Schizosaccharomyces pombe: one gene and its partner. The protein of the gene in region 1 interacts with the protein of each later gene in a pairwise test. Each region holds a gene or a part of one and is shown on either strand. Other genes may lie near its edges.

Evidence for each region.
Region 2: the proteins of sid1 (region 1) and pab1 interact in a two-hybrid assay, tested with the Schizosaccharomyces pombe proteins (one study listed by BioGRID).

What each region holds. Positions count from the first base shown.
Region 1 is NC_003424.3:1,983,479-1,991,885, forward strand, and holds sid1 (PAK-like GC kinase Sid1), read left to right. Parts: upstream 1-2,219; 5' UTR 2,220-2,278; coding exon 2,279-2,395; intron 2,396-2,451; coding exon 2,452-3,750; 3' UTR 3,751-3,884; coding exon of another isoform or gene 3,885-3,993; 3' UTR 3,994-4,030; coding exon of another isoform or gene 4,031-7,497; 3' UTR 7,498-7,756; downstream 7,757-8,407. Other genes in the region: SPOM_SPAC9G1.07 (Schizosaccharomyces specific protein), read left to right, coding at 1-729, 775-960; SPOM_SPAC9G1.08C (phospholipase), read right to left, coding at 1,090-1,815; putative mitotic spindle organizing protein Mzt1, read right to left, coding at 1,872-2,066; inp53 (inositol polyphosphate phosphatase), read right to left, coding at 3,885-3,993, 4,031-7,497; mitotic septin Spn4, read right to left, coding at 8,309-8,407. UniProt on the Schizosaccharomyces pombe protein: Has a role in the septation initiation network (SIN) required for cytokinesis.
Region 2 is NC_003424.3:506,556-511,580, reverse strand, and holds pab1 (serine/threonine protein phosphatase PP2A regulatory subunit B-55 Pab1), read left to right. Parts: upstream 1-1,687; 5' UTR 1,688-1,889; coding exon 1,890-1,933; intron 1,934-1,977; coding exon 1,978-2,018; intron 2,019-2,095; coding exon 2,096-3,378; intron 3,379-3,400; exon of another isoform or gene 3,401-3,421; coding exon 3,422-3,445; 3' UTR 3,446-4,059; downstream 4,060-5,025. Other genes in the region: cleavage and polyadenylation specificity factor complex subunit Yth1, read left to right, coding at 245-414, 511-801, 861-912; yip5 (Rab GTPase-binding protein), read right to left, coding at 4,289-5,025. UniProt on the Schizosaccharomyces pombe protein: Phosphatase 2A affects a variety of biological processes in the cell such as transcription, cell cycle progression and cellular morphogenesis, and provides an initial identification of critical substrates for this phosphatase.

The DNA of each region.
Region 1 (8,407 bases):
CAATTAATCCGCTTAGGATACAATGAGAAAAGTTTAGGAGAACTAAAACAAGGAACCATTAGTCGTTTACTTAAAGAACATATGACTTTATGGAACCAAGAACGGTCTAATGTAAATCGAAAAAGCAATGTGCTTTTTTGTTGGTCAACAGCTTATCAGAAGCAGAAAAGGAAAACAGCAAGCTATACCAATTCACCTGTCACACCGCCCATCAATGACAAAAATATTTTGTTACCGGAACAGTCTCCTTTATCTAATTTTTCTACGACCAAGATTTCCAGTATAAATGTTCCTTCAGATATACTTGATTTTTCTAATTTATCATCGAATGAAATTCCCAAGGATTATTCTTCTTCTACGGCTCTTTTAAATAATACAGTTGCTGTTAAACAGGATCACAAATTATCTGCAAATACTTTCCTTTCTTCCCCAGTCAAATTGATTGAGAGGGAAAGCAACAGTTGTTCTACAATTTCAATAAATAAAGAGGATGAAGTTGTTCCAAAATCACCACTAAGTTTGGATCGTAAAAAAGTTGATGAAGTCGAAGAACATTCATCAATCGCTAAACTTGACTCTGAAGAAAAAATTAGAGAAACGAAGAAAAAAAATTCATCAACGTCTCTTTCCCCGGATCCAACCTCTGATAATTTTGAATGGGGTTCATGGGTCAGTTCCCAAGATACCTCGAAAAACTCATCGAATTTAGCTTCTGCTTCCGTTGATGATGTAAGTGAAGAGTCTCAAGTTGAGCCAAATACTCTAATTTTTCAGAATTTTAGTTCACCTTCTACTTCATTGTCAGCTCCTAAAGACACTCCGGCTGTTATTCAATCGATCAATACTTCGTTTCTTAATAATGAGAGAGCAGGGCGTGGAAATATAAAAACAGTTGACCAAAATCAACTAATTAATAGAATTGTTGATAAGCTTCCGGATCTTAGTTATCTTGTCGATTGAAAATCTTAATGATCAAAAGGTAAACGTACTAATTTTAATCACATAATGGCTAGAGGAGTTATTGTTATATCTATGCCCAAATGAATATTAACTTTATTGTGAACAAATGTTAACTTAAATAAATCAATTCTAAAAAGATGTAAGAGGAATTGCATCTTCAAACAACGTGTTGTGAATATACAAATGTTTACTAATAGATTGAACGAATGTATACCATTCTCTAGGGGATGAAGGCATGTCAGTTTTATCATCACGATTCCAACATGTGAGGTGAAATGGTTTAAATGTTTTACGTAATCGCGATTCTTCATATTCGCTGCATGAACAATGCAATCGCTTTTCAAACAAATACACTGGAACATGAAATGGATGATTGGGCAAAGTTATGGATAGCGGTAGAGTACCTCCAAAGGAAAATATCCCTCCAAGCTGGTATTTAGTAGACAATTTATAACAACTATATAAAGCAACCATAGCTCCTTGACCAAACCCGAAAAAAAATATTCTAGAAGATAATATACCGTAAGAGAGTAGATTGCCAATTAAATTTGAAATCATCGTAAAACTTTTAGAGAAATCGGCTTCAGATTGCAGTTCCCCGTTTTGATCAAAATGGACATCCTCTCCCCACATCCAATTGCCTCCAGGATTTTCAAAATCTAATGGTAATCGATATGGTCCACGTAAGGAAATATAACTAGTGTTGGGCAACGGAACGTTCTTTGCCATATTTGCAAAACTCTTGTGAGAATCTCCAAGTCCATGCATTAAAATAACTACATTGTGAACCTTGTCTTTCCCTTCAATAATCTCTGCGCATGCATTTGAAGGTAGAACACTGTTTAAAGAAGACATTAGATAAAAGAAATACTAAACCCCGAGGTCAACTATTGAGATTAAACTTCTTGCCATTAACTTGGTTCTGTGTCAACAGTTTGTTCCTGAGCCATACGTATTTCCCGAATTATTTGAGCTATTGCTTCTGGGTGTACGTTGTTTTCACAAAGACTGATGCAGAGTGAAAGCGTTGTTTTATCAAGTTCAGTTCCAAGCAATGTTCCTATTTCGTATAAAACTTCTATTGTCTCTTTGGTAGATTCAGACATAAAACTCGATACTTTATAATAAACTAGTCTAATTATATATACTTCGTAACAAGTTGGTAATGTTAAGTTTACTGGAATAGGCGTCTCGGAGTAGCTCATTATAATCCTCTAAGTAATAAACAAAGTACTTCGTGGTGCATCTAGCTTGTGCTTGTAAAACGAAACCGAAAGTAGGCTCAACCTCAGATTTGAGCAGTCAAAATATTGATGAAATGTATCCTCTCAATGCTAATTCTTATACTCTGCTACGGAAATTAGGATCAGGTTCATTTGGGGTTGTCTGGAAAGCACGTGAAAATGTGTCTGGCGACATTATCGCTATTAAACAGGTAAGACTAATTAATTTTTACTCTTCTTTAGTATCACAAAAAACTTACAGTTGCAGATTGATTTAGAAACAGGTATTGACGACATTACCGACATCGAACAAGAGGTATTTATGTTATCGAATTGCAACAGTTCCAATGTAATTCAGTATTACGGTTGTTTTGTTGACGGATACACATTATGGATTTTGATGGAGCATATGGATGGAGGATCAGTTTCGGGACTTTTGAAAATGGGAAGGTTGAATGAACAAGTAATTTCAATCATTCTTCGAGAGGTCCTTTATGGGCTAAATTATCTTCATGGACAAAACAAAATCCACAGAGATATCAAAGCCGCCAATATACTACTATCTTCCTCTACCGGAAACGTAAAGCTTGCTGACTTTGGAGTTGCCGCTCAACTTTCGAACGCTGCTTCGCGTAGACACACGTTTGTTGGAACGCCATTTTGGATGGCACCGGAAGTAATACAACAAACAAGTTATGGTTTAGCTGCTGACATTTGGTCTCTTGGAATTACGGCTATTGAAATGGCTAACGGAATTCCGCCCCGCGCTACAATGCATCCAATGCGTGTCATCTTTGAAATTCCTCAATCCGAGCCTCCAAAGCTAGATGATCATTTCAGTCCAACATTCCGTGATTTTGTGTCCTGCTGCTTAGATCTCAATCCTAATATGCGATGGTCAGCTAAAGAACTCCTTCAACACCCATTCATCAAAAGCGCAGGAACTGTGAAAGACATTATTCCTTTGCTTGTTCAGAAGGAGAATAAATTATTTGATGATTCGGATCAAAGTGTATTGGAAGAAACCATAAATAATACTTTAAAGCCCTTTGAAGAACCAATTGCTGAAGGAAATGCTGACATTGAGGATTGGACATTTGAAACTGTAAAGAAATCTGACTCAACTGTGTTAGGGAATACTAGCATTCCTAAAAATTCCATCATCAGTTCACAAAATAAAGAGGAATTGCCTTCATCAATAAAATATTTAGAGAAAACTATAATGAGTGATCAAGCGACACCGCATCCTTTTTCCAAGTCATTGTCTGAAAAAGGTAGCTCTTATCATAAATCGTTGACTTCCGATTTTGCTATGAAACATTATATTAAGTCCACCATACGATCGATGTTATTAAATGATAAATTGTCAGCAACGCAGCGCTCATCTTTAGAATCTTTTTATACATCTTTCATTTCTTTAGATAAAAATCTGTCCTCAAAATTTGTTAACCAAATTACTCCAGACAACAGACTGCATCACAAAAAGCAAAAGCGGAGCCCCATATCACAACTACTATTTTCACGGTGGCTTGAAGAAACTGAGAAAAGAAGAAGTCTAAATGGATAGCTTACTAAAAACTCGTAAACAACCTGTTTACAGCATTCACAATTTTGTATTTAAATGAACTTATAATGGCATATTCTACTATAATTTAATCTACATAATATATATAAACACATCCAAACGAGAACTATTCGAAATCAACTTGACACTTGCTTTAAAGCATTTTGTACATTCCAGTTATTTCCAGACAAATATTGTTCAGCCGTTTGATAAGACACAGAAGTATAATTCATGACATAGGTTATTCTGGTTGGTTAGCAAAATTCTCCAAAAAAAAACATACTTAGCCTTTCTCTTAAATTCATCAGCATACTCAATCCACTTTCGTTTGACCACGTCCCATGTGGACCCCTGAGATTGCGCATTTACCATCTTCGCTTTGGAATGTATTAAAGCAGATACTGGTCGGTGATCTGATGCCTTCAGTTCGTACCTGGTATAGTTTTCTGCAGAGATGTAGTCGGGACTTCCACGATAACAGATACGATCACACCAGGCAGGCACACGCTTTTTTTCACTACTGTCGTACTGCTCACTATGAACGTCGTACTTGTAAGTTGGGGCAAACGTGATTTCTGGTTCAGTAAATGTTCTCAGACGAAATCCGGCATTTCTTTTTCGCTCAACAAGAAGCTGATCGCTTTGGAGCAAAGTTTTTATGTCGTTTTTTTTAATTAAATCTAAAGCTTTAGGTCTCAATGTGTTGATTCTATAATTTAAATCACCATGCAAAACACAAACTTCGTGATCCATAATTAAAGAGCCATCGCCACCACCAACGAATGTATTCAATTGATCAGTTTCATCATTTTCAGGAAAAAGAGAAGCATTGTCTAAAATTGTTGCCAAATCATTATTTCTGGCTGCTTTATTGGATTGACCAGCAGCCAAATGACAGTTTACTATGCAATATGAAGTATCATCTACCAGAAAGCGAACGACTATTGCACCTTTGTTACCATGCAAACCACCTAGTCCCGTTTTTACAGTTGTCGATTGTAACATCCGAATTTTGCTTTGTAACTTATTTTTTACAAAAACACATGAGAAAAGACCAACCAAATTTTCACATACCAAAACCTGATAATCATCGTTTGAGCTTACCCGCATCATTTCAGATTCTAATTTTTCACGCCATAAACGATACTGACTGGAAATATTAGCACTGTTAGACGAACCACCTTTGGAGCTCGACTTTGAAAGGATGCTTCTAGCTGTGAGTCTTTTATTCTCCAAATCAACTAGCTCTTGAAAACCAAACACAACTATATCTGGGTATCCATTGTCTCGAATCATCATTGGAATCATACTAGCTCCAATAGTATCACTATCTAGATCAGATGGCTTTGAAGCTCCGGCATTCCAGGAACAAATAAGTATAGACACGTCAGTAAAATTACTATATTCTGGGAAGCGGCTTCGCATTTCGGTAGCTAACCAGTCACCCATCATTAAACCATCCCAAAACTTGACAACTGAAGAAGCCATACTAACAACTTGGAGCCTTTTAGCTTTCCATACGCTATTCACATCAATACCAAGTATAGTGGTAGCTCCATTGTGACTTGCTTTATGACCATGCCAACTTTTTAAGAGGCGCCAAGGACTCTCAGAAACATCAAATACGTAAATCATGCCTGTCGTGTAGGCTGCCCAAAGTGTATTTCCAACACCAACTAGTGAACAAATTCTATAGAATGAACTGCTAGTAATTAGCTCCAAAAAACGGTATTGGGTTTTCGAAAAGATGGATATTTTTCCATCAACGTGACCATAGAAGACCAAATCCGTAAAGTTTGAAATAGTAGTGCCACAAGAGATATCACCTATCAAACCAGGTGGAGTCATGGGCTTCGCCAAAACACTTGCCGACTCATTTTCTGAAGTTGAAGGATCATATACATAAATTGATTTCCCAACAACAACCCATAAAAGCCGATTATCTAAAACCATAGCATGAGTGGCATGAGGAATGGTGCGAATACTATGTGGAGTAGACTGTATACTTAAACCCATAATTTCATCTTCCTGCCATACATACAGTTTTCCCATATCGTCCAACGTCCACATTTCATTTTTATAGACCATAACGTAAGTAATAGGACAATTGGAAACAGACTTCTTAGTAACGATATGATGATTTTGAACATCGACTTCCCATAACATCCCATCTCTCGTTCCAAACCAAACAAATCTGCCATCGTCAGAGTAATTCTCCGGGGATGATTTAAATGATAAGGACGTTACCTTCGTATCCCCTAGAGGCATATGCCAATGACAAAGACCAGTAACGGTGTCATAAACACGAAGTCCTCCGTTTCCAGCTAAAACAAGGCGATCACCACTAACATCAAAGATTCTAGCTTCAAAATCTACGTTAATTGATTCAACACCGTTAACAAAACAGGGCGGGTTCCTCCTAACGCTAGAAGTATCTGGTATGCTTCCTTTTAAAACAACATCTAATTGCGATGACGAAGAGGAACTAGCAGCAACAGAAGGATCACTTTGCTCAGTAGAAACAGGCATAGAGACAGGTTTGTTAGTAGCTAAGGATTTCACCCTCGGTGGTGGTGGAGGAAACAAAGGGGATGGTTTAGAAGATAAGTTTTCAGATGTTAAAGCTGGACTAGACAGTTCTGATAAAGTGTGACTAGGACGGGGAGGTAATCTGGGTTTCTCAGGTATTAAAGACATCTCTGATGCAGGAGCAATATGAGTGTAGGGAGACGACTGTAAACCAGTAACAAGACTGGCGTCACTTTTAGTAGCCAAATTCTCTATTGGGGAAGAAGAGCGCTGGGTAGAAACTTTACGCAGCGGTGGTTTTGGGGGCTTTCGGGGAGATACATGAAGCGGTAATTGTTGAGATATTACCGCACGCGATTGCTGTATAGCCTCAACAGCAACTGGCTGTGGAGGTCTTGGAGAGGGAATTGGAGGAGGAGTTTCCAAAGACCTGTCTCCAATGTTCAAAACAGGAGGCGCCGTCGATATGGGACACTCCTTTCCAAAGGTCTGGCTAAATGGATCATGCAAATCAAAGGAGGGCACACTTTTACTAGAATTGATAACGTTTTCTTCTTCTTCTTCAGAAGACAGAACCGAAGAGGCTTCGGAGTGAGTTGGAGACTGAGAAATATATGCCTTAACATTTTTTAATGGAGATACAGATATCGGGCTTGAAGAACCTGCTTTCGAAGAAAAATTGGGTTTAGGGGGTGGTATTTGATGATTATTGGTATCATCGTGTTTCATTAGATCATTTCCTTTGGTAGATTGTACAGATGATTGAAAAGAAATTTCAGGCCCTTTTTGTTGAGGTCGCTTAAGTAATGGAGAAACAGAAACAAATGAATTAGATATAGTAGGAGAAGATGGAGTAGCTACGTGAGATTCAGAAGAATCACTAGGTAGACGATCTATTTTTGAAACATCAGCGTGGGGGTTTGAAGGATTTTTAAAATTAGAAGCTAGCCTTTGAATTGAACCACTAACTTTTCGTCCAGTCGAACTTCCTATAGTCGATGAGACTTGCCTCGGCGGTGGAATAGGTCTTGCTTTAAAAACGTTTGGCTCAGAAGTGCCATTTTTACAACCTTTTACAGTTCTTCTTTTAGCAGTTTTTTCGTCCAAATTAGTTAGGTCACCGGTACTCAATGACTCGAACTTTGATTTCAATGATAAAACCGAAGGGGGCAACTCGGGTTCATCTTCATTCACATTGCTGAAGCCTTGGCGAGAGGCCATGTTCCATGATTACGACAATCTTATGCTTTAAATCAATTTTTTAAATAAATCACCTTTTTTAAATACTTCTAAAATCTATTAGGTGCTGTTTGGACCTTTTGCGCTTTTCAGCTAATTGTTGGAAAAAGACAACCAAGACACTGCGTGGGCTGACCTATTATGAAATAAACAAAGCCTCGTGCACTCAAACACACGCATCAACAATACTCCAAATAATCATTTTTACAGAAAACAAAAGGGAAGATGATGTAGAAATTCGCATAATACAAATTAGGAATTCCAAAAAACTATCAAATATTTTTTAGGCATTTGTATTGCTTAACTAAATAGTTTACTTCACATTTATAGAAACAATTTTGAAAGCCATTCTCAAGGCAATGAAAGATCATATTGTCATGTAGCTAAATATTTGTAACATATTATTAAGCATTGACTATAAACACACATTGCACAATTTTATTTCAGAAAGACACAAAACGAGAAATTTTAAGTACTTATGCAAGAAATTTTATAAGATACAGAAAATTTATTCGATATCAAAATTATATAAAAATTGAGCAACTTATGAAAGCATATGTACTATACGTTGAATAAAACCACAATAAAAGAGTGTATAAAGGCATAGAAAAAATAAAATAAAATCATATAGTTAATTGATTGTCTAAAGAATGTAATTTATACGGGAGGCAAGATAGACGTTTGACATTATGTATTAGAAATGAAGGACCATAAAAGATGATAGTATGGTTCACTAGCAAACAAACCCAAATGATAATTGGGTATCAAGTTTCGTTATATTTTAACATTATCTCTAACGTTTGCGAGAGCTGGTAGCCGCCTTTAGTCGTTCGATTTCAAGTTCAATTTGTTTTATTTGAACATGCTGAGCTTCCAAATCTTTATTTAATGA
Region 2 (5,025 bases), 1.5 Mb from region 1:
GAATATGTTTTATAAAAGTTATTTTATTCGTATGCTGCATAATATCATTCTTTACTTAGGTTTCAAACATACCTATGAAGAAAACCTTAAAACAATAGCGATTTCATGAATATTATAAGAATAATTTAATTCGTTCTAGTTTAATAAGCATCATTTATAGTATGTGAATGCCAGTCAATAAAGTATTTGTGATATTCAAGTCAACTGAACAACGTTGCCTCCGCCATCTACTGGTTACTACAAAATGACTGATTATATCAAAGATAAAGCTATAGCAGCTGATTTTTCTTCAGTTCAATTTCGTTTTGATAACTATTTAAAGCAAAATTTTAATTTCGGAAGGTCTGCCTTGCTAAACTCTGGAAATGGACGCGATTCTGGATCGAAAATGGGTAGCGTGGTTTGCAAGCATTGGTATGTATATATAAAGAAGAGTAATATGAATATATATTTCATGTATTTTTCTATTTGTTTTTGTTTCTACCTTCATGATAACTAATATTATATAAGGCTTCGTGGACTTTGTAAAAAAGGTGAACAGTGTGATTTTTTACACGAGTACAATTTAAAAAAGATGCCTCCATGTCACTTTTATGCAGAGCGCGGCTGGTGTTCTAATGGCGAAGAGTGTTTATATCTCCATTTGGATCCCAGTAAACAAGTTGGTGTCTGTGCCTGGTATAATATGGGATTTTGTCCTTTAGGACCTATATGTCGAGGCAAACATGTACGAAAACCAAGGCCTTGCCCAAAATATTTAGCTGGGTTTTGTCCGCTAGGCCCTAATTGCCCAGATGCTCAGTAAGTTTTTTGAAGAATTATAGTGTTGACTTTCTCTTTCTATTACTAACATGTTCTAGTCCTAAACACTCTGAACCTCCGCATCCTCCTCAAAAGCGGAAAGACTGGTAAAGGATGCGTTTTTTAATGTGTCACTGTATATTAGGTAATGAAATCAAGTTATCAATGGAGTATATGCAATTAGTGATGCCGTACATTGATTATTGAGATTTTTTTTTATGGAATAAAATTAATTATCGACGTTGGGTTTGTCTTGGTTGCGGCGAACCAAATCGACACATAATCGGGATAATAGAAGTATTTAGAAACCGAAAAATAAGTTTTAAATAATAAGTCTCCCTTTTACATATGTTTTTTGCAACATAGAAGGAAAAGAAAATTTAGGAACTTAAGTATCGTTTACCAGTATGTAAAACGCTTACGTAGAGCGCCATCGTAATGTATCAAGGACGGTTTATTCATTTAATCATTCATACGTTATTCGTAAAATATTTGCTACTTTCCAGTTATGTTTCTTATTTTTTTGTAATTTACTTATCTGCTGTATTCAATTTTGCAAACTATAAAAACAATATGGATCTTTTATATGACAATGAACTTCTAGTTTTTTATAATCAAAAACACCTTTCTTTAGCGTACAAATGATTAAGGTTTCATTAATGGGAAATTGCCAACAAGTTTTACACTGGACTTTGTAAAGTTGAGCAAAAAATCCTATGTGTAGTAAAGCGTAAGATGAACACTGAAGTAATGAAATAGTGTTGTATTTATCAAAAATCCATTAATAACTTAAAGTCGCTTAAGGCTTGATTTACCGATAAAAATTTTACTGAGCTTTTGACTCGCCGAAGAGTGGTGTAGATTCGTTAGGGTAGCAGCATTTGATACGAACCATCAAGTTAGGAAAATCAGCAGCCCTCCAAAAAAGCCAGTGAAAACTGGGAAACTTTGTATCAAAACTTTTGAAAAAAGATCCAAAGACGGTATAGAGATACCCTTAGAAATTTGAAGATCAAGATCTTCGTATACAATTGAAATTGGCAAAGTGTACCAACGGGAACGAAATCTTAATATAATACGAGTAGAAGATGGATGATATAGAAGACTCTTTGGATCAGTGGAAATTTGCCCAGTATGTAAACGATGTGTGAAAAAAATTAATGACTAACTCTTTAGATGCTTTGGTGACAAGGGTGATGTGGAAGACATCACTGAAGGTATTGGTTTTGAGTAGTTCTCTCATAAAAGAGTTCTCTTTTACTTTAATCACTGAATAAATGACTAACAAGTTTAGCCGATATCATTTCAGCAGTAGAATTCGACCACACAGGTGATTATCTAGCAACCGGCGATAAAGGTGGCAGAGTCGTTCTTTTTGAGCGAAATCATTCGAAAAAGGGTTGTGAGTATAAGTTTTTTACTGAATTTCAAAGTCATGAACCCGAGTTTGATTATCTCAAGTCCTTAGAAATCGAAGAAAAGATCAATAAAATTCGCTGGTGCAAGAGGACTAATCGAGCGCATTTTTTACTCTCAACGAATGATAAAACTATAAAATTGTGGAAACTATATGAAAAGAATTTGAAAGTCGTTGCCGAAAATAATTTGTCGGACAGTTTCCACAGTCCTATGCAAGGACCTTTGACAACACCTTCGCAACTTCGACTCCCACGACTCAACCATCATGACATGATTATCGCTGCATATCCACGACGTGTTTACGCTAATGCACACGCATATCATATTAATTCGATTAGCGTTAACTCTGATGCAGAAACTTACATTTCCGCTGATGATTTACGTATCAACTTATGGAACTTGTCCATCTCCGATCATTCATTCAACATAGTTGACATTAAACCTGAAAATATGGAAGAACTTACGGAAGTTATTACTAGTGCCGAGTTTCACCCGATAAACTGCAATCATCTCATGTATAGTAGCAGCAAGGGAAATATCAAACTCTTAGATTTGCGTCAATCTGCGCTCTGCGATAATCCATGTAAGCTTTTCGAGGATCAAGAAGATCAAGATTCCAAGAGTTTCTTTTCTGAAATCATCTCTAGCATTTCAGACGTTAAGTTCTCACAAAATGGCCGCTATATTCTTTCAAGAGATTATTTAACTCTTAAGATATGGGATGTCAACATGGAAAAAGCTCCCGTTAAAACTATTCCATTGCATGATGTTTTGCGATCAAAGTTATGCGATCTCTATGAAAATGACTGTATTTTTGATAAATTCGAGTGTACCTTTTCTGGTGACGACAAACACGTTTTATCAGGAAGTTATAGCAACAACTTTGGGATTTACCCCACAGATAGTTCTTTGCCTGGCGATAGAGGACAGATAGTTTTGCAAGCCGACAAGGCTGCATTTAGAGCCAGAAAATCTGCTGCAAATAACGTTCCAAAGTTGAATGCTGTGAAAAATAATGATTGGCGGTCACAACCTCAAGCTGCGATGGGATCTGCTTCTGTTGGCCTTGATCCTGATAACCTGGATTACAATAAGAAGATATTACATGCCAGTTGGCATCCCTTTGAAGACTCAGTTGCCATCGCCGCTACTAATAATGTACGTTTGCTTATCAACTTTTTGTTTACTAATGTTTCAATAGCTTTTTGTTTTCTCTAAGCTCTAATGTCCTTATGTGGAGTTTGGTTTGTTTTTATGATCTACGGATAGACTGAACATAGTTCCTTTTTTATTGAACTTCCGGGAATAAGAGTTTTCTTACCTTCTTCTTTCAGATTGTATTCTTATATACACACACCATTTTAACCATTAATGACAGAAATAAAGTTTTTAGGACTAATGATAAAAGGGTGCTTTGTTTATCTCCCTTCATGTATGCCGTGAATCGATACATATGTACTTTGCTATCCACAGTATTTTTCTTTTTCTCTTTTTACGTGTTCCTTTTTAATCTTGAAATTGTGGTGATGCATCGTAAATTTCAACGTTTTTTCAATATCTCACAAAGTTTTTTTCTCTTGTTGAAAAAAATCTGAATTTGAAATCGTAAAAGTACTTTTCAGGTTAAGCTTCACCATTAATTTACCTTCAGCTCTTTTTTGTTGAACAACGAGTAATAATGTGTTAAGTTTTCTATATAAATGACGGGAGATCGATTGCAAAAATATGACTAAATGTCATAAAGTCTTTGGTTCACTAAAAAGGCTACAATTATTTTTACTAAGGCATGATTCATCAATGCATAAGAAATGATTATTTATACGTATTTTGCACCTGAAAAAAAAACCTAGTAAATTGAGGGAACATTAGTAGCTATAGTAAAAAGAGTAGAAAATCAAATGTAAAGCGAATATATGTATAAACTGAATCATATAGAGTATACCAACACTTAGACTCAATAGGATCTTAAATGCTGAATGACTTTTCTAAAGAATGAAAGAAGGGGAATAGTATAATTTTCGAATGAAGCAATGCGACTGATAAAAGAAACTCCTCACAAATTAGGATATTAACTGAAGAATATGAGTTGAAGAGACAAAGCGAGCAAACAGTGAAAGACGATAATTCCGAACAATAAAAGTTTGCACAAATTTGATCCGGCTTGCTGACAGATAGGATATAAATTTCTAGTTAAAAACACAATGGAAATTAACAAACCAATCCCTGTAAGTACATATTTGACAATATGGGAGGCCAAAGTAGATAGCAATCCAAACGGAGGAGTTGCTAAAGAAACGGGAAGCCAAACAATGTTAGCATATCCATATAAACACAGACAGTCGAGTAACTTAGGGTTGCATTTGTTCCACACTAGGATACCCCATAACAAAACGGCGATAATGGTAGTGTAACCATAAATAATTGATGCTGCAGAGATCAACTTTTTTATAGAATAGCCACTTGTACCATGCCCTGTGGCATAACGAGCGTATTCGGTAATTGAGTTGGAAAAGAATAGAGCCTGTATAACCGTAGTGGTTATCCAAAAAGGACCGTATAAATCGGGACGATCATCTACAACATCAAAGAAATTTACAGTGGGAATAAGAGTATGTATACATCGTTGAACCACATCTTTAGTTTCCACGTTAAATGAATCTTTGATGGTCCATGGCGTCTCTTGCATGGATGCGCGACGAGATTGTAATCTAGGGGCCGGAGGCTTTGTAATGGGAGTTCTCTGCTTATAAAGGTCTTCAGCCTCAAATGTTGTACGACCTAGGTCAGCTTCCGAGTCAATTTCAA